Arabidopsis thaliana: one gene and its partners. The main gene of each other region encodes a partner of the protein of the gene in region 2 in a complex. Each region holds a gene or a part of one and is shown on either strand. Other genes may lie near its edges.

Region 1 (7,461 bases), on a different chromosome or scaffold from region 2:
TATTGACGCTTGTGTTGACGATTCACGAATATTCTGACAAGAAACGAAGACTAACCATGAGATCCATGTACTGATCAGCATCAAAGGAAGTGCTGTTGATGTTATCGAAAGAGGCGTTGATGGAGGAACCACTCGTCGAGATTGAAGGATCCGGTGCGTAGAAGCTCGACAATAGATCTCTCATTCTCTTCGCCTTTTCGTCCATCGGAGCTGCCTCCGTCGCCATTTTTCTAAACTCCTGCTTCTTCTCGACGACGAAAATATCTGTTACCGGAAGCAGAATTTTGGCGTCGGAGATTCGTAATGTGAATTGAAAAAGCAAGAAGAAACTGGATCCGACTAATCAACTGGGAAACGGATCCGTATCCGATTCGAACCGGAATACGGTTTAGCAGTCGGATTACTTTTTATGAGATTAGGCACTGGTTTAGTGTGATTGGTTCGTTCACTTATTTTAAATCAGTTTTATTCGTTGAAAAGTACATAGATTGGCTTTAGCTGTTCAAAAATCCATAAATTTGAAACTATTTTTCGAAATGATACATTTTTACTTATTGACCCCAATAATTCATAAATTGTTTTATCACCTATACAAAGTCCAAACTCGATGTCAAAATAAAATAAAATCTCAACTCTATAATAATTAATTAATAAAGACAAGCTTAAGTTATCAAACTTCAAATATCATCTCTCACAACTCTATAAGTTATTTTTATAAAAGTTACTTCTCTTAGCCAGTAATCATCAATGAGATTGGTGCTTTCTGGCTCTACGATGAGTAATGGCTGAATCATCTTTCTTGGAGCCTTCAGGTTTGCGAGCCCACACTGGTGCTTGGTCTGGTCCATATCTATAGTCATAGAAAAGCTCTTCGCTAGCTTCTATTCGTTCGTTTGCAAAAATCCCGACCCTGTGATCTCCTGCTACAAACATCACCTACACCACACAGAAAAAGACACCGTACTTATGCGGGAAGCGATGAGACCATGGTTACTACGACAATAGACTGAAAATCGCTCTTTTTTGTAAATAATTAACACCTTTCGAAAAGGGTTGAATAAATCTAGCAGATGATATACACATGTTACTTTACACATTACAATCATAAAGATTGTAGAAACAAGTGTGTTTTGATCATAACCTACAAAGCTAGATTTGATCATCTGTTTTCTATAGTGCTAATTGCGATTAGTTTCTACAAAATGTTATAATCCTAGTCCTCCTTCTAAATGGAACTTTTGAGTGGCTAGAGGTGAGAAAGAAGGTATAATTACTAACCGATCATGTGGTTTTTTCATACCAAAATGGATATGAGAGAGAAGCATTTAGTACCTTAGCGTAGCAATTGGGTTTAGCTGAGTGATTGGCAAATTTCAGCTTGTCACCTTTGCGTTGAGCATCGAGGACGTACTGCAAATATCAAAAGCTTACTGACATATGCGAAATTCAAGAGGAAACTATCAGAAAGAAGGGTGAGAGATTTGGTCACCTGATCATTCAAGTCAAAGAGGAAGGACGAATTTGCCCGGTCATATATTTTCCCACGCTTATCCGCCTCATGGTGTGAGATCAATTCACCGGTGTATTCTCCAAGGTATTCATTTTTGCTGACCGAGTTCTGATGATCAGATGAGGTTCAGATTACATACAAGAGGTATGAAACAGAAGTTAATGAGGAAGATATTCACATGCTTTACCTTTAGAAAAGCACCCCATCCAGCAACATCAGACTTTCCCAATAGGATCTGGTAAATATAGCACATGAGAAACTAGATTTATCAACAATGAATGCATTTTATTTTTAGTAAATACATGATTTGATGACAGTATTATACCCTCTGTTGTTGCCTCAGGAGAAGTCTCATGTTTCCGCATTGCCCTTCTCCGCGTCTTGGTGCTTCACCGAGAGAACCATCTCCACAACTGAGTGAATAAGCAAGGCATCTTAAGTTACTCATCAAATAGTAGATTTGATTGTATATGGCACATCAAGAGATCTAGATTTAAAATGACTACCTAACCCAGCAATTTCTGCAAACATCTGGATCACATTCTCTGCCAGCAGCAAAGCAGGGACACTGCCTACTTCTGCATTGACTCTTTGCACAATGACATCCTCGGAAACGATTTTTACAGCTTTTTGAGCACCTGAATTAAATCAATGGATGGTTATAAGAAGATCCTCTGTTACTTCAATTGACGTTAATTTGTTTGCATACCCGCAATATTTCTCGCAGCAAGTTTCATTAGTTAGACAAGGGCAATCCTTTCCGCACATTGACAGGCATCCACACGGCGTGTATTGTTTACAGGACTGGTTTTTGCCACCAGCTATTCTTTTCCAGACAGACGGATGACCAGCAGACTTTGTAGAGTATTTTAGCTTCCGGGTTTTGCCTTTTCTACGGAACAATCTTGTCCTTGGAGGCACCTCATCATTCTGTCAAGTAAAGTAAGAGAGCGGTAAACCAAAATATGATTCTGACAGACATGGCATGCTAATATCAATAAAATCTCAAATAAAATAATCACTTGTCTAAGCCAACTTATGGTCAACTATCGTTTTCTCTTGTCCAATGCAGGTATCAGGGAAAAATTAAGCAAGGAAATTGGCTTTTCCGGATCAGAACTTTTTTCTTCTGGAATAGATCTCTAACCCTATCAGTCTGACAAGCTAACTTTCAATACAACAATGCCCAAAGTCGCAGATACTGCAGAAAATTTGAAAAGACAAAAGACCCTAGGAAGATCAAGAGCTTACATCATTCCCTGGGTCAGTCCTGCCATCATCCAACAGCAAATTTGGGGTACTAGATCTTCGAAAAACTGAAACTTCGTTTTCACGCATGTAATTGGACACATCTAGGCATGTCTTCAAGCCAGAAAGCAGGTTTCTTGCAATAAGACAGCTGAGATAGCACGGACAAAACATACTAGATGTAAATACGTTATAGGTGTTCTGTGTTTAAAGATAATAATTTACCAAGATCCAGTTTACCTGTTTCTTCCAAAGATTTCGACTCCCTTCAAGTAAAGATCCTTCTCGATAGGATTCCACTCTGTAGATGGTCGACTTGTCTCAGACATTTCTGCAATGATTATTGCTCCGTTTCCACTACCATGGTGTGGCTGACAAATTGAGGAACCACCATCATGGACCGAATTGTCTGGAATAGGCTCACCTACTTCTTTTGCATCAGCTTCTGAGTCTCTGTTTACTTTATTGTCAGTTGTTCCACCTTGATCACCCTTTGTGCTATCCAATGCCTGATCTAAGCTAGGGACAGAATTAACAAATGACATTTTTGTATCTGAGGCTGCGGTCTTCTGTTTCTTGTTCGATAAATTAGGCAGATCATTGGAGTCTTTTAGAATTGGGACCTCACGCTTTCCTCTAATTCCATGCTCTTGTTCTACACCAGAGGATGAATCTACATTCTTGATACCAATATCAGTCTTCTCAACTTGCAGACTGACACCACTAGCAGCAGCATGGGGAACATCAGAGGAGACAGCCTTGCTGCATTCCTCTTCTGAAGCTTTCTCTTCTGCTTTAGATGCAAAATTACTGCATGTTTCTGGTACTTCTCTGACCGCCTTGAGCTAAAATCATTAACATAAGAATAATGGTGATTCAAACTCTGGAACCAAGAAAAATTACTGCATAAACAAGACTATGCACTAGTACAACTACAATGAAAGATCACTCCTCTAGCAAACGCATACATGCTAAACCTCAATCTAGGTCAGAGCATATATTCCATGATCTCACTAATGAATATAGTTTATTAACTACGAATATACAAATCACTCTGAGAATGTAAAGAGACAGAGAGAGAGATAGACCTGGAGGTAACAATGTTTGCTGCAGGGTTTCCTATCACCTTCATAATCAGACCAATAAGGCTGTTTTTCACTCTGTCAACCAAAGTTCTCTTGTTATGTTGTCCACTGAAACTTTAGCAATACAACTAAAGAAAGTAAAGACAAATTCAAGCTTACAGCACTAATCAAAGGCTGAGAACATCCATGCAGACGACAGTCAAATACCTGTTAGAAATAACCAAAGAAGGATTAACATGATTAACAAACACTTAATAATACATGCTCTCTCTGTCACAAAGAACAATCCAAGTACCAAGCAACGGCGGCAGAAAAGATTATCAAAAGAATCTAGAGCTGCACCAAGGCCCTTTTCCAGAGATATTCCCAGCTTGAATCCGGAATTAGAAAATTCCTCGGTATTCTGCTTATCCTTCAACTTGAGCTCATTGTATCTTTCCTGCAGCAGACAGGAAAGCCAAACATCATTAGTGAAGAAGAATAGGAAGACCAGAAAAACATCATTAGATAAACCACAAGAACAAGATGACTAAAAACTGCACCAGGATATCAGAAGCATCTACGCTTAGCAACTGGCAAAGGGCATCCTGCACTTCCTCACCCATGCCATACTCCTGCCCAATTAACCTGCCAATTCAAGTCAAACGAGGTATGAAGAAATTCATATATAGTGAGATATATTTCAAACCTAATGCTAATGAAGAGTCTTACAGAATGAAATTTGATATGAATACGAAATATGACATCTTTTTTTAGCATCAACAAATGTGATTCATTGGTTAATAAATTCCACCCAGGTACTTCTTCAAATACCAGTATCACAATTTTTCCCCATCAGAGTACATGAGAGTCCATAATTTACACTCTCTGCAAAACTAACCATATAATGGAATCTTCACCCTCGGAAAATTCACGTTTTTCCTCCTCAGGTTCTGGTTCTTCCTCACTATCGCTGCATATTAGCGTCTCACCACCATGTTGTTCATAGTAGATTTGTCTTCGACCAACCACAGACTGATCTTCAGCCATTCTTTGATTTCTGCATGGTTAAGATATTTTTTCAGAAAAGAAAAACAACACATAATATGAAAACTGAATTTGATGTTCTAGTCTATTGTTCAACTGAATTTAGAATAGCATGCTACCAACGCAAAAATGAGAACTAGAAAAGGTGCATGCCTGTCCAAAAATATCCAGGTAGTGTATGGCGGTATTCTCTCAGCAATAGGAAGCTTGACACTTGCTGATATAACATCCTTAGTAGGAACATAGTCTCTATCTCCCACACCATGAGAAAAACCATTTAACTTGCAGAGTGGCATTCTCATTCTCGAAGAAAGCATATTGCTATTTCCATTATCCTCTGCGGTAGCTCGGCTCGATGCAGCAGATGAAAAGGGAGAAACATGAGCATCCACTTTCTTTCTATTAGCCTCAAATTTCTCCTACATTCCCAGGAAAACAATCAAAAACGGATAAATGATTTCAAATTTTTTAGACATTAGTATAATTAGTAAAGAACATCAAGTATAGAAACTCTCTTACTTTAATAGACCTAACTCTTTCTCCTTGAATTTTCCTTTTAAGCTCACTTAATCTGTTTTCCAAACCCTCGAGTCTATCTTCTTCTTCTTCACCATCATCATCATCATCTACATGAGACTTCTATTCAGAAGCCCAAATCAAAACAAAAATCGTGTAAAAAACAAAAGCAACGAGGAAAAACACTAATTCTATAAGGTCCATCAACTCCAACAGTGAACAAAAGTAAGAGAGCGATTATAATTTGATGAACTCAAACGGATTTCACGAACAATCAGCTGAAAAAACGCGAATGATCATGCGCATACGAGCAAAATCAGATAATAAATCAAAAAAAAAAAAAAAAGAGGAGATTGAAAGGTAAATCTGAGTACGATTCGTCCAGAGGAGTTGCTATCGTCCGTCACCATTGATGACTCCTCGAGCTTTCCGCTTCTCTTCCGCTCGAACTTTCTCTCTCTCTCTGCTTTTTCCGCAATCAGACTTGTGAGAAGGACGAACGGAGTGTGGACTGGAAGGGGGGTTACATTACATACAAAGAACGCCACACGTGTGAATGAATAGTGCTTATACGTGTGTAATTTAATTAGTGGTTTTGCGACAATTATTTTCTATTTGTGATTATAATTGTATGTTATCTTAAAGATAACTATTACGACATGCCTGGCTCTGGAGCCGTTGAGGCTAATAATGGCTAATATTATTAACGTCAAAGTCTCTAGAGCCACACAGGTTATAGCAGTTACGTTTGAGATAAGTATTAGTTGTAAAGTAATAAACTCTGAACGTAAAAATATTAAGATATTTGTGATTATAATTGTATTTTATCTTAAAGGTAACTACTATGATTTGTGTGGCTTTAGAAACTTTGACGTTAACAATACTAGCCATTGAGGCTAAGAATATTAGCTGTAAAGTAAAAATCTCTGAGCGTAAAGATTTAAACTGTAAAGATTTTTTTTTTTTAACATATGTATGCTTCTTATAAACTTGTAAAGGGAGATACAAATATCTTTCTAACCATAATGGTGGTACAGAGAATTAATTAACTGAGCCTTTTTAGATAAGATGTCCGCAGCTGCATTTCTTTCCCAATTAACATGTGCTAAGGAAGAGAACGGAAGCTTCACCATCCAATAACGAATATCATAAAGAAGAGTGATGATCTTATTATGATCACTCTGCGTATTGATCAGATTTACTAGCTCTGCATTATCGCTCTCAAACCACACATAAGTACATAATGTAGTCCTCGGGACCAAGTCACTTGAAGGGCATGAAGAAATCCGAGAGCCTCTGCTTGAAGAGATAATTGTGACGATTGAAGTTGAGCACGCCCTGAACTAAGGAAACATCCATTGCAATCTCTGTAAATCCATCCTGAATGTATGACAGTCCTTTCCTGAACATAACCACTATCAAAAATAATAATAATAAAAACTGTGATTTTAACTAATAAGAAAGGAATTACTTTAAATATTGGTTTGATACCATAAAAATTATATTTAAAATATTAGTTTTTCAACAGATTATATTTTATTTAGATTATTCCATAAAAAAAAAGTATTATACTGTTACTTTTAGCTGTAAAAACTTTTACTGTAAAAAGCCTTTAAAAATTAACAGTACAAACTAATCACCTGTACATAGTTTTTTTATATTGGAAAAAGTATATTCAAATTCTATTTGTATATCTGATGGTTGTGGCAAATATTAATTAATTAACGCAAAAATATATACAAAATTCTATCCTCCAATAAAGGAGAATCCAAAATCCAAAGAGCTGTAATAATGTCCCAAACTCAAAAGCTTCTCTGGTGGAAATTTTCTCACCGTAAGTGGGAGAAAAACAAATAAAAAGAAGAAAACCCTGGCTTCTATCATCGGCCTTCGTGAAGATCTTCTGAGAAAACAGTTGTTCGTGTAATATTTTCATGATCAAAAGCGCTTAGACCAGAATAAGGACCAGAAGAGAACATAGAAGAGGTTACTTCTGACTCGAACGTAGCTGATGATTGTCTCCGGTTAGGACGAGCTTTATTTGAAGTGTTTAAAACCGGGTCTTGATACTCAACC
Region 2 (4,919 bases):
CGTAAGATATAAGATTATGACAAGAACTTAACCAAACTTTACAATAACATCAAGTTGAATATGATTAGATTGGATATGCAGAGACATGATTAATAAAGACATGTTATATTTTTAATGTAAAAAACAAATTTTCTAAAATTTCACCGTCTCACAAACTAAATATATAACCAAAAGAACAAAGATATATAAATTAAAAAAAAAACTGAGAATCTAAAACAACAATAAAAAACAACTCAAGCACTTTCGTTTTCAGATGAACTAATATAGTTGGACTTTTTGAAAACAATTACAAATCATATTTATGTTTCAAAATCGATGCATTCAACTTTACTTTATATGAACAGACATTATATAAAACAATTTGTAAATAGTAATACATAAACCCGCACGTAGTGCGGGTATTCATCTAGTTATTAATGAAACAAACTACCCCTCAAGTAAGGAATCTTAACAACAACATCCCCAACTAAATAATCAATGAAAACACCCTCAAATAATGGTTACTCAAACAAAAAAATCCTGAACTTTCTATTTTGGTTTGTTGAAAATAACATTTTTTGCATAAAAACAATAACAGATGTAATCATTTGAAAATCTGAAACGATCAATCAATATAACCAAGATATTGTTTTAGAAGTTGATGAAATTGACACTTTACACGAGTTAGTACACAACAGAGCGAATGGTTCGCAGGACCTCTTTAGATATGAACAGAAACAAGGAACAGAGGCAAAATACTCTCCCTAAGGAGATTTTTTAAAATATTATTATGTCAAATCCTAAATCTAAACCCCAATCCAAAGAGATTTGCAATGTGGTCAATCCTGTGGTCCAAATTGATGATAAATAGCCGAATCCACGTTAGAGAAATCATGGACTATTTAGTTCTAATCATATTATTCATACTAAGAAAGAATGTGGTTGAATCAATGGGAAGCTTGATCAATGTGAGGTCATTACTCCATTGTTTGGCCTTTTGGTGGAGACAACATCAGTAAATGCGTCGACAAGTTGGCCAGCAAGGCTACCTGGATCATCCTCTAAAGTCTGCACAAATGTGCTCACAACAGATTGCTCCTGAGCGGTTGAGCTCATGCTGAACCATGTCAAGAACCTGACCCTGAATGTTGTTTTAATGTGGCCTTCACGCTCCAGCCACCTGATCACCTTCACACATTTCTCAAGAGTGTCATCAATCGACGAACTGTCACACTCGTGGTTCTCTGAGTCATTACTGTCTGAAATTGCTTTCCTCTTCCTGGTCATGAGGAAATCAAATCCGGTATCATCACCACTTCCATCTGATATAACCAAGCAGTCGTTGTTGTTCTTCCGTCTACCGTTAGACACAGCATCATCACAGTTATCATCATGATCACCACCATCAGCCTCAGCAAGCGAATTTAGCGGCACTCCATTGTCTTCACCTCCAGAAGAATCAGGTGGAGTGAACTCCTCATTCAAGTCTGGCACTGAAACTACATTTAGATCAAACCCATGTGGCCTTCGAGGTGGCAATTCTTCCTCTGGCGGCTCACAAATTTTCTCAGTATCTACATTGTAAAACGCTTCAAGCAAGCCTTCCTCCTGAGCTTCAGCCAACTGCACATACTTCCCAAGTTGCCCAATTTGAAATCTTGAGGAAATGCTACTTTTCTCCTCTCTATCTGAGGGCTGAGCGTTACCTACTAAATCAATTGTTCTCTTTTCCTTACCATCCACTGGTTTCAATATCTCAACGCTCTTCGTAAAGCACATAGCGTTCGAATGGCCAAATATACCAGCTTCTGTGTAAGAGACAACACGGAATGTGTACTCCGTGCAAGGCTCAAGGTCAGATATCACCATCCTCCTCTCAGTTCTACTGCAATCAACAAATAAATCATCCTCAGGCATCTCTCCTTTCTTGAAATACCATAACTTGTAACCCTTAACATCATATTCTACAGCACTAGGTAGCTCAATCAGACGAAGAGTCACTTGCTTTGGTGCAATATCTTCGAAATGAAACCTGCACGCAGCTGGAACTAAATCTGCAAAAACATATATGAACTTATTTCATTACTCTCTCTTTCAGATTCATTGCAATAAACATATCTCCAATACTAACCTCTACCTGCATTGGCTGACAACTCCCCTGCCTTTTTAATTGCAGAAGTGCAAAGCTCTTGCACATTAGCTGCAACAGGAAGCCTACTAACAATGCCTCTATCAGTTCTAGCAGTAGGTCCATCAAGAGGTCCAACTTCATCCTCCAGCATAGACTTAGCAGCTCTAACAATCTCATGCAATTCACTAAACCGACTAGTCCCATTCAACAGTCTATAACCCAAATCTATTCTATAACACAGTCCATCACGTCGTCGTGCTTCCTTTGCTGCCACAAGCTGCTTTTTCCAACATCTTCATAAACACACACGCACATTGAGTTATACAAAGCCAATTACAGCAATCAAACAAAGAGTAAAGGAAGAAATTTTACCCAAGAATTTGAGAAACTTTGCCACATGAGTAGCAACAAAAACAACCATCAAGCTTCATCAGATTCCCAAGAGCAATAACACCAACTTTGACTTCTCGAAAAGCACACTCAATGTGACACGATAAGCCACAGAACTCAACATCATCAGATTTCTCAGGCTCACAAACTAACCAAAGACTAGGATCCTTGTTTTCATCGAAATTATGACAAACACAACAAGAACATCTCTTGCAAAAGGAATCTTCTTTAGGCACATTAGCTCTACACGATGCATTCTTGCAGATCCATGATGATCTCAAACACCCACCACCACCATCGACGTCTTGTTGTTGTTGTTGTTTCCCATTTGATTCGTGCTTCTTGTTTGACTTTTTGTTCGTCTTGCGTGAATGTGAGATCTTCGATTTCGTCGATGATGAATCCATACTTGCTCAGAAAGAAAAAATTAAAGTCTTTGTAGCTCTTCTTCTTCACAGATGTCTTCGTCGAGAAACAAGGATTGTTTCGTCTTTTTTGATTCAATGTCGAAATTGAGAAACATGGTTCGGTGATTGAGATTACGGAGGAGTTTTCAGGTGGCTGTAGATTTAGGCGTCGCCTGAGAAAACATTGCCGCGGCGGCTGAAATTTGGGGGAAAGAGAGAGGAAGGAGATGAAAGTTAGAGATTCTAGGGTACACGTGTCATTTGTTTTTTTGTTTTTTTATAACATGTATCATATTGGGCCTATTTCTTTAAAGGGCCTCCATTTTCTTAGTTTCGAGATTTTAGGGACAAAAAAAGGGAAGAACACAATTCATGGTTTTAAAATCAAAACCGAATTTTTGGAATATCGGAGTGGTTCTAAATTTCTCAATCCGAATCCTTGTATCCGAATATCGGAGTGTCCATAACTAGTAAATATTTACACACATGTAAATTTTATACATATATAAAAGTATAAAACTAAGCAAATTCGTATATTATATAAATTAAACTAAACACATTCCTATATCATTTTTTCAGTTTAATAATTACGGTTAGGTTCCAGTTTGGCCAATTGAGCCACATAACATAATTATTATATGAGGATATTATTTTTATATAATTAGTATTTTTTATTTAGTTGTCTTTTATTATTTTATCATGGTCTCTTAAAACAAATTTTCATTTTTTCTCAAACAAAAAAAAAAAGAAAAAGAAAAATAGTGAATGTCGAAGGTGGCGATAGGAACGAAGAAGGGGGGAACAACAGAGAAGATATCTTAAGAAAACCAGCGACTTGGTCTTCTACTTGTTCTTCTACTATGGAGAGATTGATACTGCTGGTATATTAGTGAAAACTTTTGGAAGCCTTTTCGATACAGAAAAACAGATTTTTTAATATGCAATGTAAATTAGTCTTTTCGTATTCTACAAAAAATATAGATCCCATAAAAAAAAATTCACAGTAAAAAAATTAGTTTGATTATGTTAGTCATGTATTGATTTTAAGTATGGACACTAACACACATAAACTTTATGAAAAATCATTATGGTTTATACTGAATGTGAGACGGATTTAGAAGATGCAAATAAGTGAATTAACAAAGTTGTACTAAAAGATATATGTTCTTGATAAAAGAGTGAATATTACGTGCAATAATATGGAATCCATAAAATGAGCTGATCCATTTCATAGCTAGATTAGGTAAACGAGGCAACGTATCAGGCTATAACATAGAGGGGGCTCCTATGGTCCACACTCTGCACGACCAAGTAACTATGTACTGACTGATTTTGTAAAATACTTCAGAATCCAATATTATAAACAAGTTTTTAACCAAATCAATATTCTAAGTTAAGATGTATAACGAGTTAATTTAAAATTCAGATTCGTGGTCAAACTTATAAACTTATTATTAGACTTTGAGGACTATCAGAACTAATTATAAAACTTAAGCATGTGCATGTATTTACTATTTAGTGAGGACTGATTATAAATTTCATATTAAACTTGGTAACGACAACCACTTGGTGTTAGTATAAACGTATCATTTAATGAAATATAGGGATATAAAAGTATTTGTGGAATAAAAACACATAAAATTTGATAAGAATTCTCACATCAAAATAAAATATGAATTTAAATATATCAAAAGGATTTTATCCGTTTATTATTGATTGGGTTTGAGTTGAAAACTCATCATAAACCTTGATATGGATTAATTAAAGTGATCTAAAATGAATATAACTAATCTAGCTAATTTAGAATTTGGTCTCAATGAATTAGTTAACAATAGTCATCATTTCAGTGAAGTGTTCGTCATATGATTATTATCGTTTTGAATGTATGGAGAAAAGAAAAGCATCCCCACTAATTTGTATATATGACAAACGAGATAGATTCAAAATGTTACAAAATAGAGTGGAATTGAACAAAACAAAAAAGGGATATAGATTAGAGATTCAGAGAAAAT
Region 3 (5,948 bases), on a different chromosome or scaffold from region 2:
AGCAAATTATGTGATCCTTTGAACCAAAAATGTGCATTGCGAAATCAAACAATTCGAGAATCAACTAGAAGCAATGAATCCAGAACTATGTTTTATTACCTAAACCATCAATCTTTTAACAAAAACGTAAATTCCGATTTCCGATCTACTGCTAAATCCCAACTCTTACGAGAGAACGGGAATAATTATGTTAGTCAATTTTATCACTTGACTCCGATCTAGTTTGAAATCGAGACAAACCTGAAAGATTCGAAAACACTGATTGGTGGTGTCAAAGCAAAATCGAAGAAGCTTGCTGCTTGTGAGGGATTCATTGAGAAAGAACAAGTCAAAATGGGGTTTTAAGCTTAATCACTGTGTCTTAATTAATTTCTTGATTTGTTTTCAATCTATTTGCACTTAATATATATATTTTTATGTTATGTACTTGATTAATATATAACTCCTATTTACTAGAGGTCTAGAGGAGCTTTTTCTCAAGTCAAAAAGAAAAATTAAGGAAACTTATCTTATTTTTCAGTCTTTAGTTATTAAGGAGAATCCATTTTTTTAACTAAAAATGTAATCAGTTGAATACACTAACAAATAAAATCTTTGTTTGCTCCTAAACAATTTTTTTAAGAAAGAAGAATAAGTTACAATCCGATAGATCGGTATCATCTAAACCGGAGTGTTTCCTATTTAATTACTTGTCTCTGCTGTTATTGTCCTTGTTGTCAACATTGTTCTTGTTTTTTATGTCATTCGGATGATCCACAATGTTATTGTTGTTGGTGTTTGAGTCACTGGGATGATCCACACTGTTGTTGTTGTTGTTAGTGACTGAGGTATTACGGCAATTCTCGAGGATGGTATTGCAGTTGTTGATGGTGGCTGAGTCGACAAGTCCATGGTTCCATAGTTTAATCAAAAACAATCTCCAACACCTGGAATTTTTTATTTTTCTTTCAGAAAAACGAAACAAAATTGATAGTGTAGTTATGTGTCTGTATATGTTTGGTGTACTTATATTACCAGAAGAGTGATGAGTAACAGTGCAACTCTTTCTCGTAAAATCTTGAAAATACTTCACATGCCCAAGAGATATGACCATCTGCTATAACCCTGCAAACATCAATCATAATTTGAGCTCAAAGTTCCATAAGCAGAATCATTTAGACAGGTATGGAATGTAAGACATAAGGTCTTTTTGTGTGTGTTCAAGTGTAAGAGAAGTAGTTACCTTTGTTTTCTTACAAACGAGTTCCAAAGATGCATGAATTGCTTTTCATCTTTATTCACATCCACAAAGTCATCAAGCATCTGCAGCTTTTTTAAGTTTCAAAAGCCATTAGCAAGTTACATCGTATACCATTTTCTGTTGCCTACTTAATGAACGCAGAAAGAAATCATGGAATACCTGGCGATCTTCAAAATCTGCAACATCGTCATCGACTTCATCCTCGCTATCCCGATCAGACATTACTTGCTCAAGCGCCATTGGCTTGTCACAAGAAACATGCAGTTTTTGGTTAGTGGCAATAAAACGGAGACAACATGGACATAATTTTTTTGCGTTGATACATACAGAATCAAAATACAAATTTAGATGAGAACAAACCAAGTATGCTTTGATAAGATATCATCATGAGCAATTTAAAGAAAATGCCTAAGAAGTAGGTGAAGGAACTTGGATCACCTGGACTCTGTGAGAATGATAGAATTGGCGTTTCTGAAGAAGTAGGTGGCTGGAAGAAATTTTCTCGGTTAATATGGCAGTACAGTAAACACTTATCCATAATAGGAAGAACATTTGTAACAACAGGTATGGTAATTATGATGACGGGGTGTCATGATGAACAAACCTTCTAGCCTCTGATCGCTCAGCAGATAACTTTCTTGTCTTAGTAGCAGGGACCACAGCTTCGGTTGTTAATATAACTTTAGCACCAGCGTCCAGAGAAGAGTGGGCTATGGCTGGTGGAATGTTGCTAGTCATCTCAAATTGTCCAGCAAGCTCTGTTGCCTCGGGATATCCTAAACCACGGTTTCCTGTAGCATGCCATTAATTTTGTACATCAGTTCTGGTAACATTACCCTCACAAGAAGAATGCGAGGAGAAGTACAAAAACTAAACAATCAGGACATTGTATCTTCTTCTGTAAAATGAAGTTCTAAGCCACAACGAATACCACAGAAGAAGATGTGATTTTACCATCATTCAGCAGGGCAATTCCATTTTCTGTGCCATTAGCTAAACTGGGTGAATCCAACGGTAAAAAGCATACTTTAAGTCTCCTGGTGTTATTTCTGCCACCTCTTTGTCTACGCTTACGAGGTTTCGAGCTGCAAAACATTGTGGTTGGATTTATAGAGAAGTACTGACAAGAAAAGCAAGGAGTTACTGCTATTAAGGTATTTAATCAAGGGGTTCTGAGAGTTACCAGAGAGAGAAGGGCTCAAATTTATCATCATCACTTCCTTCTTCCTAGTACAAATAAGGATGGAATATAAACCAAATTTTCACCAGCTATAGGATTTCCCAATTAACCAAGTTTAAAGTAACTGACCTCAAATATGAAGGAATTAAGTTTTACAGAAACATTAACTGTCTGGTATTCTTCCAAAAGCTACAATAGGAAAGACCCTTTTTTAACTATAACCTCATTACTAACGGCATAGGCAAAACAAGAAATTCCATAAAACCACATACCTTGAACTCAAATTCAAATAAATCATGAGATGAATTCAAATGAAATTGCAGCCCCTGCATAGACACAAGACAATGGATTGTAAGCTCGAACTGGAACATGTTTTCTCAGATAAGCACACACTCAGCAGTTTAAAAAGAGCAAGAAGACAAACAACAAACACAAAAATATGTAACCAAACAGTGAAAGTATATAGCATTAAACGGCAGTAGCATTTCACAGTGTTAGATATGAAAGGCCCCGGAAGAAACCTCAGTTGTAATAGTTGCCCACCTTGAAGCTACCACATAGCATAGAGCAAAATGGACAAGAACAATCCTCCCTAACTGCGTGACAATACAGAAAAAAATAGTAAATAACAAATCATCTAGAGAAACATAGACATTGACATCGAATTTTGTCGAAGAACAGAAAAAGACTAACCTTCAGTTCTTTGTAATGTATTATTACAATCCTTATAGTTGAAAACTACCATCCCAGTAGATCTTGACCTAAGCAAAACACAATTTTGTAAAATATAAGTGTATAGCATGAACAAAGAAGAAACCATTCATTATGTCCATATCTACTCAACAAAGATAAATAGTTCATCAGCTTCCATATTAGAAGTAAGATAAATAACATATCACTGTGGCAACTACATTCAAGAAGAAACGCATACTTTCTTTTGCGCTTTGCCCCAATTTTGTAGTTCAAGCATCTTGGCAGAAACGATGGCTGCAACAACAAACAACAAGTTCAAATAACATTAGGAGACAAAAGAAGCACACACTCGCCATGAGTCAGACCATAATCAGCTTAGCAAACTCAAACTATTAGTGGGTGATCTACACAGGAGATGAAAGATTACTAAGCTAAAATGATGAGAGAGGAAGGCCAAATCATACGTTGCCTAGAGAGCGAAGGTGAAAGATGTTATATAGTCGAACAGGTTTACAATATATCAAGAGATTCTCATCAGTTGAAATCACTTCCTCCGGTGAGGATTTCGCGCGACAATTCTGCCTACACATTCTTGTTCAAATACAATCAACAACGTCCAGAGCTGATTATGAAGTTAGTGCAAACTCTGAGGCCTCCCCTAAATTAGAATTTCCCTACGTCATATTGTTCAACTCCATGCAACAATTAGAACCGCCTCTTCTGCAATATGCTTATATAGAATGTCTTGTATTGAGGCCTGTGTAATAAAGAAAGCACAAGACTTTTTAAGCAACTCAGAGAGTTCATTCAAGACATAGACAAGTTTAGACGTATTGCAAAAATGAAAACTTTATCCAATGCCACTTAGCAGAATCATCATACTTATCAAATTAAAATAAAATTATGTGATCTTTTGAACCAAATGTGTATGAAGAAATCTTAAAAAAAATTCCATCGAGATCAACGATTCCAGAACTAGAATACGATTCCGGATCTACTGCAAAATTTCAAATCTTACAATATAATTGAAACAATTAGGGTTATCAATTGTTATTACTTGACTCCGATTTAATTTGAGATTGAGACAAACCTGAAAGCTGCGAAAACACCGATTGGCCGTGTAAGAGAGAGAGCAAGCAAAATTGAAGAAGCTTGATTGGGAGATATTCACTGAGAAAGAAAACAAGTAAAAATAAAACTTTGGGTTTCAAGTTTTTCTTCAAGTCTGGGCCTATGGCCCATATTTTAAACCGATAACCATTTAACACGTATTATTATTAGTCAATAAATAGTTGAACTTTTTTTTTAATTAATAAAATGAAAAGAAAATACAAGCAACTTGGACAGCTTAATGCCTTAATCCACTAATATTTCTAAAATTGTTTTTTTAACTCTACCATGGCAGTACAGTGAGTATTAGAGGATTTAAAACCATATTCACCATTGATCTATGCGTGGAGGATGAAGAAATTAAGAATCATTGATCTATACTTTTCACACTAAGAATAGAATCTTCATGACCTTCAATTTTGATTTCCATTTGTGTTTTACATAAATAGTCAGAGTTTAAAATAAATTACTGAATATGTATTTTGATTCCATTGTTTAACTCTAGTTGAGTTGGCTAGCTGAAACTCACAGGAACATATAATCCTAAGGTGGCATTAAGTTGAAACTAATCTTTTTTTCGACCAATAGAATGATTAATGGATAACCATCAGTGTTTTCTACTTGAGTTGTGTGATGTATATCACTGAAATATTAAACATACATTTCATGAAAACGAGAGATCCTTTTGTGTGTCTACAGAACCAAAAATTACAAATACGAATGGTTTGCGGCACAAAATCACCGGCGGTAAAAGAATTGTTTCCTTTCCCAAAACTGAATATGAGTTCCCATGGAGACAAGACAACATGTTGCTTTTGGAACTCAACTCCTTAACGCTGCTGACAAATTCCAAATCCATCACCGATTTAGTATTATATGAACAAATTGAAACCATAATTCAACACAAGATTCTAACGTTGCAGAGACATCTCGATCCTCATATCCATATGAGTCTTTGTAAAATCCCTAATTAAGTTTCACAGATCAATTATGGATTCATAGAGATTGAAACAATTTCTCGGCTTACCTGAGTAAGAGGAGAGCCAGAGGATTGCGACACAGAGAAGAAGAATGAGAGGAATCAAATGGATGACGTTTTCTGAAAATCTGAATCTTGATTTCTCTCTCTTCCCCGCTTGAGAATTCGGATCGTACCTAGGCAAAAGCAGCTCCACATCATCTTCCATTGCTGTAACACTCTGAGATCGAGGCGGAGACCTTGAAGTCGCCGGAAAATGATCCAAAACTCTAGAACCACTCGCTGATCTACGCATCTCTCTTCTTAACGGCAACTTGTCAAGTCAAAGGTCGAAACTTTACCACACAATAACGCATATAAATACAGTCAGGTTTGACCAATGAGAGAGTCAAAGCTCTTCTCTTTTCACCAGTAATCGCCACAAGAGCAAGACCCATCTTTGAAATGGTGAAACCTTGTGGTGTCTCTTACAATGATCTCTCGTTTCTCTATCTCCGAGATAAATTTGATTGCTTTATGACAATCACCACAGATTCTCAAGTTCTTGAACACTTGTATCTGTGAACCTTGAGGGAGTTTTATGCAACCAAATGCAACAGCTAACTTCTCGCTGTGCCATAACAATAGCTTCTCTTTTTGCTCTTCCTCTACATTGTGTAAAGCAAACTCTAGTTCCGGTTTGTATCCAGCTAGTTTCATCTTCTTCTCCAACTCCTTCAGTTTCTTGTGTATTGAGTCTAGTTCAG
Region 4 (5,885 bases), 1.6 Mb from region 2:
AAATCGAGGATGCAGTCCTGGCTTTCGAAGAGATGAAAGAGAAAGATGTGAGATCATGGACCTCTTTGATTGCAGGATATGGAAGACATGGGAATTTTGAGAAAGCAATTGATCTTTATAACAGAATGGAGCATGAAAGGATCAAACCGAATGACGTTACATTTCTTTCTCTCCTCTCTGCTTGTAGTCATACAGGACAAACCGAACTAGGCTGGAAGATTTACGACACAATGATCAACAAGCACGGAATCGAAGCTCGAGAAGAGCACTTATCTTGCATCATAGATATGCTTGCGCGCAGTGGCTACTTGGAAGAAGCTTATGCACTGATAAGAAGTAAAGAGGGTATTGTAAGTCTTAGCTCATCAACATGGGGAGCTTTTCTTGATGCATGCAGGCGCCATGGGAATGTGCAGCTCAGTAAAGTAGCAGCCACGCAGCTTCTGAGTATGGAACCGAGGAAACCAGTCAATTACATCAATTTGGCCAGTGTGTATGCAGCTAATGGAGCATGGGACAATGCTTTGAATACTAGAAAGCTTATGAAAGAGAGTGGTTCCTGCAATAAAGCTCCAGGATACAGCCTTGTGTATTGAACTAAGAGAATAAGACAAAATCTCCAGAAAGGGTATACACTGTGGTACAAGGGTGGACGTTAACAAGGCTACAAAGAGCATCTCAAGGTCTCAGGGAGTAGCAACATGATCAGAATTACAATAAAAGAATGGATATCTCATTTCTTCGCACTCCTAATTCATCAATTCCTACAAGACTCAGACCGCTACTTGGTAATCACGTCCCAGCGCCATATAGTCCCGTCCTCGCAGCAAGCAAGAATCGTGCTACAATCCCATGGAAGAAACAGTGTGTCAGAATCCAAAGTTTGGTTTGATTTACAGTAACTATTGAGTCATAAATAACATTAAGAAATTTTCACTGCATTGGTGAGAGAGAAGATGGATTTATACCTTCCATCGACAGACATGGCTGTTTGCCTGATTACAGACTTTGATTGATTGTGTGATAACCTATATGGCAACAGAAAATCATGTCAAGACTAAAACATTTCTTAAAGATCAAACATTGTATCTGAATCCGAAACTAACTTACTTTGTAATCAAAACAGGAGGGCAACTTTTCAAATCCCAGACATAAACCTTTCCTTCCTGATTACCTGATAACAAACCAGCGAGTAATTTGTCACAAAATGAATAAGAAAAGTTGAAGTAATCTATCTATAGAATGCAAATTTGTATCTAACGAGCTCTCTGATTACCTATCGCAACAGAACTTAAATGGAGGTCACAAGAAAACTTGATAAACCAAATATCACACATTGGAACCGGGTATCTTAATAGAACATCTGAAGCTCCCTGCAAACCACAAAAAGTTCAACTGTAAATATATGTGATGAAATGAATGATTATGTTGTGTTTGGAGCAACAATGAGATCCTAACCTCGCCAGGAGAATTCTCTTTCAGTTGTGGTTCCCACAACAGGATCTCGTTGTCCACACTCTAAAATCCGATAGAACAACACAAGAGTAAAGTGTTTTAACAGTACACCAAATGAATTAATCTTAACCATCATTGACTTACTAACCTTTGAGAGGATAAAATCACCAAACCAACGGTTACAATCTACATAATTTGTATGAATGGAAGCTGTAAATACCTACATATAGAAGTAATGTTATTTACAAAGGCCATCACCAATATTTGTATGTCACTTGTTGTTACAAGACAAGGCTAAAACAAAATACTTACAGGGAATTGGACAAATTTTGTGGGGAATTTTGATGGATCATCAGTCCATGTGAATGACTTCTCGACGTACGTCCAAAACTCTATAGACAGCCAAAGAATAAGAAGATCATACAAACGAACCACAAGCCATTTTTCTCAAAAGGTTTTTTAAAATGGAAGTTTATTACAATATGTGCTCGATCGTACCTTTCATTGACCATATTTTAATAGTGGTGTCCATACCACAACTAGCAAAGCGGTAAATATCAGACGGATGAAAATCCTACAATTTTCAAAATAAGATGGTTCCCCTTAACATTGTCTCTATATATTATTGTAGAAAACTAACTGAATTAGATAAAACAATATTGGCTCACCACACTTAGAACTTCATAGCGATGACCTCCAGCTCCAGCAAATATCAAAATACATATCCCAGTTTCAACATTCCACAAACGAACAGATTCATCCTTATTCAATTAAAACGTAACAGCTCTTAATCACCAACAAATAAAAAAGAAGTCAGGATACTTTAGGAAGAAAAGAAAGCCAAGAGATATACCTTGCTAGCAGTAATCACAAGTTGAGGTTTTAAAGGTTGTGTCCTGATTTCGTTCACTGAATCTCCATGACCCACAAGACTCTGCACATTTGCGAGCACAGATTATACAAGAAAGATATAGAATCATTTGCTAGGATACATAGAACATCCATAAAAATGCAATAATACCTTATGAATCGTTTCACTGTTGACGTCAATGACTCGGATTATACCTTTTACTCCTCCAGCCGCAACATATGGGTTCCCATTAACGCCACACGCCCAACTTACCGTGTAAAACGACTCTTCCTTCTGCTCTCCAGAGGACATAGACAAAATATAACCAAATGGCCTCAGTGAAACATCACTTACTTTAATTTGATGGAAAAGCTAATATGTATGCTTCCTTACATCTTCATCAGCATAGGATTGCAATGCTGATATGGCACCATCTCCGAGACAATTGTACAGAGTAATCTACATAATAAGAGATACACCAATGGCAGTAATGAGATTCATGAACTAGCTAAGTAAAGGTTAAATGAAAGAACCCCTTGGTTAAAGCTTCTATGAGAAACTCAAATATTTCTAACTAGTAAATCATTCAATTTAAAATCCAACGGAAACTAGGAAAGATGAAAAAAACTACAACTAGTTAAGATAAGTATATTGAGACTGAGCAACCAAACAACCTTAGTGCGGAAACTGTTAGGCACACAACATTATAAAGAGAATGAGACCTAACCAAGTGTGTAAGATTACAAGTTAACTCTACTCATTGCCGATTGGACCCCAAGGACTTTCACATGGTATCAAAGCCCACTAATCCCAAATGCTCGACCGAAGACGATTACAAATTAACTCCACTCATTACCGATTGGTTTTTCATGGAACCCGAGAACTTTACGCGGTATCAGAGCCTACTAAGCCCAAACGGGTATCCGATCGATGTTTCGACGAATACAAATGAGCCTAAAGAGCCACTATCAGGTACATTCGGAACCCACATTGAAAACAAAATAGAGCAGTCTAATGTATAAGGTAATGACTTCACTCTATCTAGTTTCAAAATTAGAAAAAAAAATAACTTCCACAAAATCTCCAATACAGGAAAGCTTAAACTAAACGCTTCATAACTCACTTGATGACCGTTTCAAAAGGAACCTCCTTAGATAAGCAGACTAACAACATCAACCAAAGTTTCAATTTTTTTTAGAACAGAATGCAAATCAAGTGTATAAGGTAATGAGTTCACTTTAAATTAGAAAACAAAAACCATATCTTCCACAAAATCTCCAAAACCAGAAAGTTTGAACTAAATGTTACATAATCTTAGACTATAGCATCAAGCAAAGTTTCAATCTTTTAATCTCACTAAAGGCTAGAAATCAGAATCCAAAATCAAACACAAAAGGAAAGGCCTTAATGTTACAATCAATCTGAATCAAAACCTAAACAGACCCAGAATTGAAAACAGTGATTTCGAATTGAAAGTCGAGATCTTTTACCCGATTTCCACCAGCGGTAACGAAGACATCGAAGAAACGAGCATCAAGGAAGTTGAAAACAACAGCATACAAAGGTTTCTTCCCTTCCTGAATCCTATTCGTCACTTTGTACGATTTCTTATTCGATGGAGTCAAAGACCCAACTATTGACTCGTTCCCTAAGGTTATCTTCGACATTCGATATTCGAAATCTCTCTCTCTGTCTGACTCTCGCACACTAATCTAAGCTCACAAGTCTCTCATGCAACAACAACTGGTGTTTTGTAATTTTCGATTAGACACAGATTCACAGGTTATTAAAATTACTGTAACCGTAGATTTTGACCTCACGACAAACTTTTATTTTGGACCTGACACAACACACAACTCACCTTTTAGAAAAAAATGGTAAGAAAAATCAAATTTAACGTTTTTTAATAGGACTTAGAATTAAACGTTACGATGAAAAATAAATATATTCTTTGATTGATACGATCGAAGTTTACCTATTTGTCTTTCTTTTTTTTCAAAGGAATATTATAGATTTGATTGAAATTTTCTGAAAGTAGTAATTATTTAATATGTAATCTTATATTATTGACCATTCATTACTATTAGTTTTACTAAAAATGGTTAAATGATATAAGGTTTGGATTTAAATGGTATCACGTTTTTATGTTTTGAAAACATTATTTTGTCAATTACATACATTTCTCAATTTTATGTAATTCTTTTCTTCCACCCAAATTTTACATATTTTTTTACCTTTTTCTCAAATTTGATACTCAATAGCTACAATTCCAACAGTACCACATATTTTTTCCATCAAGTTTACTGTATGCAAATATGGATCATTTCTTCTGGACTACACCTCCGAGAGTTTATATATCATAGTATCCATGGGTAATACGATACTTATGGAAAGTTTTATAAGATTTACTTGTAATATTGCATTAAGCCAAAATGGAGGAACGAACTTGGCTCTATAATCGACCATAGAAGTGCTCTGTTTTATTTAAAGCTTACTTTCATCTCTTACCTTAAGTTTTTATTTTATTTTCTTGCACTTTAACTAAAATAGATTTTAGATACACCAAAACAAAATCAAGATCACCGATATAAGAATTAAAAAACATAGATGCAACAACTAATAGACAAACCATAACCAATTTGAAAATAGAAAGTGTGCTAAGTAGGTTTGATGTCCGCCTATTTGAAGTTGTAAATAAATTGATTTAACATTTTATCCTCTCACTGTTGTTATTTACCATGATATCTCTTCGTTGAGAGCATTTTACTTATTTAAAATGTATTTAATGGATTTTTAAAGGGTTTATTTGAATACTTTGGAATACTTTTCCAAATAAGTCACATTATCAAAAAAGAAAATTAGAAGTTCACTATTTGGATATAACGATTTGAACATCTCCAAACAAGATAATCAAGGTCCAAACTTTGAGAAACTCATCGATAACGACAAAATTTGCGATAACGACAAAATTTACGATAGAGTCCAATCAATGTTTATAGGAAAGGAAGACAAAAAAATACATGGTTATAGTTTATTTTAATATATGTTGAATGTAATATATGAAATTATAGTGCTTTAATTATAATTTGAAATAATCAGTTTACAACGGTACAAATTATATAATTTAAACAAAAAAATAGTTTAAAGCAATTATGGATAATTTTCGAGTGGTATTGTAGAATATCACGTGTGGAAAACACATTTGTTCAAAAAAATTTAGAGATCTATAGAACCTCTAGTTTTAAACCCTAGGAGTAAACAAGTATTGAAAGCTTTTGTGGTTGTTGTGTACTTGCTCGCTTCCTCGTACAACTCTTATAGGAAAATAGCATTTCTCCTAGCACTAAGTTCTGGAAGCGAATGCTCCCAAAATCTCACAACTAATTCACAATTGCTCCTATAGGATCGAATAATACGTGAAAACTGAACTGGTATCCGAGTAAAAACCAAACTAAACACATTACTCTTCTAATTGTACCCGATAATTTTTTATTCTTTCCATTCTAATTTTTTTATTCGATTAAATTGAAATTTTCCGGATATTTTGGATATTTTTCAATAGTTTGAGAATCTAAGTAAA

Evidence for each region.
Region 1: VRN5 (region 2) and SWN share a complex: the UniProt entries of both Arabidopsis thaliana proteins name them as parts of the plant homeodomain / polycomb repressive complex.
Region 3: VRN5 (region 2) and VRN2 share a complex: the UniProt entries of both Arabidopsis thaliana proteins name them as parts of the plant homeodomain / polycomb repressive complex.
Region 4: VRN5 (region 2) and FIE share a complex: the UniProt entries of both Arabidopsis thaliana proteins name them as parts of the plant homeodomain / polycomb repressive complex.

What each region holds. Positions count from the first base shown.
Region 1 is NC_003075.7:885,027-892,487, reverse strand, and holds SWN (SET domain-containing protein), read right to left. Parts: upstream 5,909-7,461; 5' UTR 5,796-5,908; coding exon 5,760-5,795; intron 5,509-5,759; coding exon 5,389-5,508; intron 5,289-5,388; coding exon 5,023-5,288; intron 4,883-5,022; coding exon 4,724-4,882; intron 4,471-4,723; coding exon 4,386-4,470; intron 4,283-4,385; coding exon 4,139-4,282; intron 4,051-4,138; coding exon 4,003-4,050; intron 3,919-4,002; coding exon 3,847-3,918; intron 3,604-3,846; coding exon 2,999-3,603; intron 2,910-2,998; coding exon 2,762-2,909; intron 2,441-2,761; coding exon 2,220-2,440; intron 2,149-2,219; coding exon 2,017-2,148; intron 1,924-2,016; coding exon 1,836-1,923; intron 1,746-1,835; coding exon 1,698-1,745; intron 1,619-1,697; coding exon 1,490-1,618; coding exon of another isoform or gene 1,411-1,489; coding exon 1,333-1,410; coding exon of another isoform or gene 1,282-1,332; exon of another isoform or gene 937-1,281; coding exon 745-936; 3' UTR 501-744; downstream 1-500. Other genes in the region: AT4G02030 (Vps51/Vps67 family (components of vesicular transport) protein), read right to left, coding at 56-226; AT4G02010 (Protein kinase superfamily protein), read right to left, coding at 7,266-7,461. UniProt on the Arabidopsis thaliana protein: Polycomb group (PcG) protein. Catalytic subunit of some PcG multiprotein complex, which methylates 'Lys-27' of histone H3, leading to transcriptional repression of the affected target genes, mainly abscisic acid (ABA) responsive elements.
Region 2 is NC_003074.8:8,875,265-8,880,183, forward strand, and holds VRN5 (Fibronectin type III domain-containing protein), read right to left. Parts: upstream 3,218-4,919; 5' UTR 2,908-3,217; coding exon 2,483-2,907; intron 2,404-2,482; coding exon 2,111-2,403; intron 2,034-2,110; coding exon 943-2,033; 3' UTR 520-942; downstream 1-519. UniProt on the Arabidopsis thaliana protein: Involved in both the vernalization and photoperiod pathways by regulating expression of the related floral repressors FLOWERING LOCUS C (FLC) and FLOWERING LOCUS M (FLM).
Region 3 is NC_003075.7:9,474,463-9,480,410, reverse strand, and holds VRN2 (VEFS-Box of polycomb protein), read right to left. Parts: upstream 4,343-5,948; 5' UTR 4,204-4,342; intron 3,871-4,203; 5' UTR 3,704-3,870; coding exon 3,578-3,703; exon of another isoform or gene 3,408-3,577; coding exon 3,352-3,407; intron 3,182-3,351; coding exon 3,114-3,181; intron 3,017-3,113; coding exon 2,964-3,016; coding exon of another isoform or gene 2,942-2,963; intron 2,747-2,941; coding exon 2,693-2,746; intron 2,610-2,692; coding exon 2,550-2,609; intron 2,468-2,549; coding exon 2,424-2,467; intron 2,326-2,423; coding exon 2,195-2,325; intron 2,032-2,194; coding exon 1,845-2,031; intron 1,728-1,844; coding exon 1,679-1,727; intron 1,484-1,678; coding exon 1,400-1,483; intron 1,303-1,399; coding exon 1,223-1,302; intron 1,105-1,222; coding exon 1,015-1,104; intron 927-1,014; coding exon 686-926; 3' UTR 533-685; downstream 1-532. Other genes in the region: AT4G16840 (uncharacterized protein), read right to left, coding at 5,046-5,062, 5,251-5,497; AT4G16835 (Tetratricopeptide repeat (TPR)-like superfamily protein), read right to left, coding at 5,608-5,948. UniProt on the Arabidopsis thaliana protein: Polycomb group (PcG) protein. Plays a central role in vernalization by maintaining repressed the homeotic gene FLC, a floral repressor, after a cold treatment.
Region 4 is NC_003074.8:7,248,283-7,254,167, forward strand, and holds FIE (Transducin/WD40 repeat-like superfamily protein), read right to left. Parts: upstream 4,171-5,885; 5' UTR 3,973-4,170; coding exon 3,796-3,972; intron 2,953-3,795; exon of another isoform or gene 2,765-2,952; coding exon 2,699-2,764; intron 2,600-2,698; coding exon 2,477-2,599; intron 2,390-2,476; coding exon 2,309-2,389; intron 2,217-2,308; coding exon 2,124-2,216; intron 2,030-2,123; coding exon 1,954-2,029; intron 1,848-1,953; coding exon 1,768-1,847; intron 1,676-1,767; coding exon 1,604-1,675; intron 1,519-1,603; coding exon 1,459-1,518; intron 1,374-1,458; coding exon 1,277-1,373; intron 1,175-1,276; coding exon 1,111-1,174; intron 1,029-1,110; coding exon 969-1,028; intron 843-968; coding exon 782-842; 3' UTR 597-781; downstream 1-596. Other genes in the region: AT3G20730 (PPR superfamily protein), read left to right, coding at 1-596. UniProt on the Arabidopsis thaliana protein: Polycomb group (PcG) protein. PcG proteins act by forming multiprotein complexes, which are required to maintain the transcriptionally repressive state of homeotic genes throughout development.